2 linked regions of the Bombyx mori genome follow. The protein of the gene in region 1 binds, or shares a complex with, the protein of each later gene. Links are inferred from orthologs where the notes say so. Each region holds a gene or a part of one and is shown on either strand. Other genes may lie near its edges. The genes, in order: protein suppressor of forked and cleavage stimulation factor subunit 1.

The links.
Region 2: the proteins of protein suppressor of forked (region 1) and cleavage stimulation factor subunit 1 are in contact, whole or in part, in a crystal structure (PDB 6B3X), measured with the Homo sapiens proteins. The link is inferred for Bombyx mori from reciprocal best matches to the Homo sapiens genes CSTF3 and CSTF1. Residues at the interface, in NP_001317.1 of Homo sapiens: Tyr581, Pro582, Lys583, Pro584, Asp585, Thr586, Gln588, Met589, Ile590, Pro591, Phe592, Pro594; in NP_001028693.1 of Homo sapiens: Arg118, Glu216, Ala217, His226, Pro227, Ser228, Asp230, Phe231, Thr240, Arg242, Leu243, Tyr244, Cys251, Phe252, Val253, Ser254, Cys255, Tyr270, Ser272, Ser273, Ala274, Asn275, Gly291, Val292, Ser293, Asn294.

Annotation. Positions count from the first base shown.
Region 1 is NC_085129.1:20,048,286-20,051,035, reverse strand, and holds part of protein suppressor of forked, read right to left. Parts: intron 2,522-2,750; coding exon 2,414-2,521; intron 2,292-2,413; coding exon 2,203-2,291; intron 780-2,202; coding exon 679-779; intron 1-678. UniProt on the Homo sapiens protein: One of the multiple factors required for polyadenylation and 3'-end cleavage of mammalian pre-mRNAs.
Region 2 is NC_085130.1:10,343,370-10,347,204, forward strand, and holds part of cleavage stimulation factor subunit 1, read left to right. Parts: coding exon 1-25; intron 26-786; coding exon 787-925; intron 926-2,002; coding exon 2,003-2,163; intron 2,164-3,151; coding exon 3,152-3,302; intron 3,303-3,835. UniProt on the Homo sapiens protein: One of the multiple factors required for polyadenylation and 3'-end cleavage of mammalian pre-mRNAs. May be responsible for the interaction of CSTF with other factors to form a stable complex on the pre-mRNA.

The sequences.
Region 1 (2,750 bases):
AAAAGCGTGGGATGTATGGTATCAGTAGTTATAAATATTTTATGAACAGATATGAGTAGAAGGGTTATTCTGATTATATCCTGAAAAGCACGCCACGCTTTTTCTACAATAAAATCATTTTTTCTTACACTATTTTTAATTCAAATTTATTAAAAAATTATTTTATATTTTTCAGTTGGATTTTCTATAAAAGCGTATTATGTTAGTTTTTTAAACTATTATTTATTTTTAATTATTTAGATCAATTTCAATTTTTTAAAAAAAAATATTCAAGTACTATGTGGCGCAGAGCATGTCTTTGTGGCGAGGCTTGGGGGAGGCCATGTCCAGCAGTGGACCTCTGTGGGCTGATAAGAAGGTGACGCTCGAGGAATGTGGGACTTGAAAACGTATCGATTTTGAGGAAATTCCTGTGGAATCGATTTAAATCGAATCTTTTCTTATTTTTTTTGGTTTTTTTATTGCTTAGATTTTACAACGTAAATGCAGACGTCCACTTTGGGATATGAGTTCTAAGATTTCAGTATAGTTACAACGGCTGCCCCACCCTTCAAACCGAAACGCATGACTGCTTCACGGCAGAAACAGGTGGGGTGGTACCTACGTACCGTACGGACTCACAAGAGGTCCTACCACCAGTAAAAGAAGCTATAAACGTACATAGAAATGCGACATTACCTGGTATGGGGTGCTCCCCGGGTAGTGGGTTCGACTTAGGTTTGTACGGAATCATTTGGTTGGTGTCCGGACGCGCAATGTCTTTGTTAGGATCGTTGTCTCTGTAAACAAAATATATTGTTACTTTGGTAAGAGCAACGCCATCTATCGAGGAGTATCAGAAACGAACATCCAAAGAAACTAGTAACACCGAGAACGTTCCAGAAATACAACGCCATCTATTGTTAGATAGCGGAAGCACTCGACTTGCCCAGAATGTACTCGATAAATCTAGGGATGTCGTATCGACTATAAAAGCGTTGCAGATATGGTACGAAGTTAATTAGTAATCGGATCTACTCGAAGCGAAGCGGAAGAATTAACTACGAGTTTTAAAGTGTTCGTTAAGTGTTCTAAGTGTTAACACAGTTTTAATCTGTACTTTTGTGGAACCTTTATTTATCCCGAACCCCAGCGCGTAAGTATATTTATAAAATTCTAAATCAAACTTCGTTATATTAAACAAACAGACGAACGTCCGGAGCGGTTCCAAAGTCATTTATTAAGTCATATATACATATATATATTTAGTTTGCAATATAGAAATACTGAGGGACGATGTCGTATGATCGTTGTATGGTCTCGTCGTGCGTTTTAGCTTCAAATGACGTCACGCGAAATTAATTTACAGGAAAATTAAAAAGAAGTGTTTTTTCTTACTACCCTCCCGCTAGGAGCCTAGAGGGGTTATTTGGGCTGTATCAAGACTGGTAGGTGAGCTCACGAGGCTCCAGCCTGACGACGTTGCTAACACTGGCCCTAGCCAGAGAAAGAAAGTTTAGAGATGCTGAAACGACAAAAGGAAGATCTTCCACCGAGCGAGTGATATTTGCTCGGTAGACCGACGGTCCAAATGTTGTTGTTCGGAACTTGTATATATGCGCTTTTATCTTGAAAATGTCGTAAGCGAGATTCAGGCATCTGTCAATTATCTTGCGTTGTATGATGGCTACCTGCCACAAAAGAAAAGCAGGGTTCCATCAAATACATTCGCATGTGATTGTGATCTCTTTTGTAGAGATCATCTCGAACAATTCCTTAGAACATACCCCACGGAACACATAAAAAGCTCCGGAACATATACTTTTCACCTACCCATTTGCTGGTAGACCAAGGGGCTATCCCAATTACGAGTTAATGAGTAGGTGAGCTCACGGCCACGATCTGAGAGAATTAGCTAACACTGGCCCTAGCAAGAGCAGTGCTCCGCAGAATCTACCACCGGATTGGAATCGTGACCCATTGAGAAGATCCGGCGAGAAACTATTTTATTTTTTTATTGCTTAGATGGGTGGACGAGTTCACAGCCCACCTGGTGCTAACTGGTTACTGGAGCCCATAGACATCTACGACGCTTCAAACCGAAACGCATTACTGCTTCACGGCAGAAATAGGCAGGGTGGTGGTACCTACCCGCGCGGACTCACAAGATGTCCTACCACCAGTACCAGTGGGCTGTGTGGGTTAATAAAGCTACTGCGCTACCTCTGCCCCAGGATGACGGCCGCCAGCTCCGGCGAGATCCCCGCCAGCGGCCCCCCGAGGGCCCACGACTTGTTCGACATGGAGGCCACCTGCGAACCGAGACAGATTTCATTATCACGCATCAGCCAAACCGTCCTGCACGTTGTCAGAGACCTCGCCGCCAACGCGAGGAAGCACCGCGGCCCTATTGAGGCCTGTTCAGTGGACTGACCTCAGTGTACCCTATAGACTTCAGCTCGGCGATGCTGCACGGGTACAGGTCGAGGAACTTGTATCTGTCCACCAGCTGGGCCGTCTCTTTGCCTTCGAATTCTTTTATCTGCAGAAAAAATGTTGATTCAGATCATGTGTTATTTCTGTGTTTGTGGGAAATGGGTTTACTGGTGTTAAGACTTCTTGTGAGTCCGCACGGGTAGGTACCACCCGCCCTGCCTATTTCTGCCGTGAAGCAGTAATGCGTTTCGGTTTGCAGGGTGGGGCAGCCGCTGTAACTGTACTTGAGATCTTAAAACTTGTATCTCAAGGTGGGTGACGCATTTACGTTGTAG
Region 2 (3,835 bases), on another chromosome or scaffold:
AGGGGCATCCCGTCATCAGAACCCTGTGAGTAATGGGCTTTCAATTCAAGGCTTAATCGTCATCAGAACCCTGTGAGTAATGGGCTTTCAATTCAAGGCTCAATCGTCATCGGAACCCTGTGAGCAATGAATGGGCTTTCAATTCAAGGCTTAATCGGCATCAGAACCCTGTGAGTAATGGGTCGGGTTTCAAGGCTCAATCGTATCTTAGATACTATCGGCGCTTTCTTCAAGTACTCAAAAGTCAGGGGAGCTTACTGAGGAAAGCTGATGGCGATGTTACTAACTTAGACGATGAGGCAATTATAGCTGTACCTTAAAGCGGCCTTGCTAAGAGCCACTTAAAGTCTAACGTGCCGATTTCCATTTTTCCTATAAAACTAAAATTCTGAAGGCTCAACAGAAATATTGAGGAGTCAGTCTCAAAGCTGCGTCCCCGAAACCACGATTGGCGCGCGATATTGTTAGATTAAGGTCGCCATAAGAACAATCATGACTAGGAGATTCAACCCGCAATATTATAATTTGCGTAATTACTGGTGGTAGGACCTCTTGTAAGTCCGCGCGGGTAAGTACCACCACCCCGCCTATTCCTGCCGTGAATCAGTAATGCGTTTCGGTTTGAAGGGCGGGGCAGCCGTTGTAACTACACTGAGACCTTAGAGATTATATCTCAAGGTGGGTGGCGCATTTACGTTATAGATCTCTAGAGGCTCCAGTAACCACTTAACACCAGGTGGGCTGTGAGCTTGTCCACCCATCTAAGCAATATATATTTTTACGCAGATACGACCACACTGATGAAATTACAGCGCTCGATTTTCATCCCCGAGAACAGATCTTAGTGTCGGCATCAAGGGATAACTGCATCAAGCTCTTCGACATCACCAAAGCATCAGCGAAGAAGGCCTTTAAATCAATTACGGTATGCATCGAGAGTTCTACACTACACTACTACAGACGCAGTCTTCTGCAGCTCTGTACTGATCCCGAGCTCTTCTCGTATACAAACAGACACAGATCCGACCTACATCTAGCCTCTAGTCCTATACTACACTACTACAGACACAGTCCTCTGCAGCTCTGTACTGATCCCGAGCTCTTCTCGTATACAAACAGACACAGATCCGACCTACATCTAGCCTCTAGTCCTATACTACACTACTACAGACACAGTCCTCTGCAGCTCTGTACTGATCCCGAGCTCTTCTCGTACACAAACAGACACAGATCCGACCTACATCTAGCCTCTAGTCCTATACTACACTACTACAGACACAGTCCTCTGCAGCTCTGTACTGATCCCGAGCTCTTCTCGTATACAAACAGACACAGATCCGACCTACATCTAGCCTCTAGTCCTATACTACACTACTACAGACACAGTCCTCTGCAGCTCTGTACTGATCCCGAGCTCTTCTCGTATACAAACAGACACAGATCCGACCTACATCTAGCCTCTAGTCCTATACTACACTACTACAGACACAGTCCTCTGCAGCTCTGTACTGATCCCGAGCTCTTCTCGTACACAAACAGACACAGATCCGACCTACATCTAGCCTCGAGTCCTATACTACACGTTGGTTGGAACCTCTGGGTCTGCGGAGGGACTTTGGTTCCCTCTGCATTTTGTACATGGAACATCCGTGGGGAGTGCTCTGAGGAATTCTTCGAGATGATACCATCGTTTTTACCATCGCACCGCCAGCCACCGGCGTAGAGTTCATCCATACTATCTGGAGCCACAGTGCGTTTCCAGAGATATTTTTGCCACGTACCATCCGGCTTTGGAATGAGCTCCCCTCCACGGTGTTTCCCGAGCGCTATGACATGTCCTTCTTCAAACGAGGCTTGTGGAGAGTATGAAGCGATAGGCAGCGGCTTGGCTCTGCCCCTGGTATTGCTGAAGTCCATGGGCGAAGGTAACCACTCACCATCAGGTGGGCCGTATGCTCGTCTGCCTACAACGACTACTGTAGACACAGTCCTCTGACCCTAGGACGCTGAACCAGTACTGTGCGTGGCCTTTCATCCCCTCGGAGATCACATCATAGCCTCGACGACACATCCGGTTATCCGGTTATATGACGTCACTACGAGTCAATGCTTCGTCTGCCCTATACCATCTCATCATCACAAGAAACACGTCAATTCTATTAAGTGAGTATAAAATTTTAAATGCGCACATCTGTCTGTTCGTCATTCGATTTTTTTTACAGTTTTGTATGGATAATGTCGTCACTTAATAGTTAGGTCTCTGACTGCATAGAATTCTGGTTGCATCGTCACAATAAATAGTTGTTTTTAATACGCTTTTAATAGCATCAGACGTATGTTTGTAACGGAATCTTTGAACATGATTTTGACCCTCTTCAAAACGTTGGATTAACTCGAAATTTGGCGTACTTATTAAGAGCCGATGACAATTCAAAATATAAAAAAAAAAATTAAAAAATTTAAATTCAAATAAAAAATGAAAAATAAATAATAGTTTAAAAAAATTAACAAAATACGCTTTTATAGAAAATCCAACAAACAAATAGATTTTTTTTTAATAAATTTGAATTAAAAATAGTTTAAGAAAAAATGATTTTATTGTAAAACAAGCGTGGGGTGCATGGTATCAGTAGTTATCAATATTTTATGATCAGATCGATACTAATATTATAAAGAGGAAAGATTTGTTTGTTTGTTTGTTTCGAATAGGCTCCGAAACTACTGGACCGATTTGAAAAATTATTTTTCCATTAGAAGCCGACATTGTCCATGACGAACATAAGCTACTTTTTAAAAAAAAAAATTTTTTTTTTTTTTGGTATCATGTGTGTTTTAATGTTTCCGAAGCGAAGCGAGGGCGGGTCGCTAGTATTTTATAATTTTGGGGAAAAAAAAAGTTTTTTTTTGTTGTTGGGTAAATCCAAAAAAAATTCCTTTACAACTTTGTTCTGTTACGTTACTTTACGTAAATTACGTTGTGAACTTTTTGGCATCTAATTTTGGACTAATGGCATCCCAATGACATGGGATTATAATGCAAATTGGACTATTTTAAGTGAAGTCTAGTAAATGTGAGTGTTATACAGTTTTTCTCATAACCCAAGTCTCCTCAGGAAAGGGATATGGAGCTTTTATTGTGCTTTCTCTACAGATTCTCGCCTAACGGTAAGTATTTTGCGAGCGGCAGCGCTGACGGCTCCATAAAGCTGTGGGACACCGTGTCCAATAGATGTTTCAACACGTTCACGAACGCTCACGAGGGATACGAGGTCTGCTCGGTCGCTTTCACGAAGAACAGCAAGGTGAGCTCGAATTGTGAACGCAGATCCGGTGATCCATAACTAGAGGTCGGAGTAGGTAGACTGATTTAAGGTCGTTGACTTCAAACGTAGAGGATAATATGGATATGCCTCCAAAATACTGGAACTTCATATTTACTTATTGTGATATGTATTTGTCCGGAATTATGAAATTAGCATGTATCTGTGTTTAAGGTGAAAAACGTACTAATAATATTAATCAACGCTACCAGTGCTAGCTAATGGTGAAAGAAATCAGTATTTTATTTTATACAAAAACGCCTTGGAATAGTTACACCGTATTTTGTCCCTTTCTGTTGAATTAGAAATGATGCTTGTCAGTATGAGACAAAACTTAGACAGGGATTTTTTTTTACTTTATCTCATAAATATAGAAATTGTATCCGATGAGGATTGAAAATATTTTTTTTCAATTTTAAAAAATAATCGTTATGGTTAAAATGGCATGTCCATATTATAATATCTTGACGCAAGTATAAAAAACAATCTACCTACTCCGACCACTGTCATAGAGA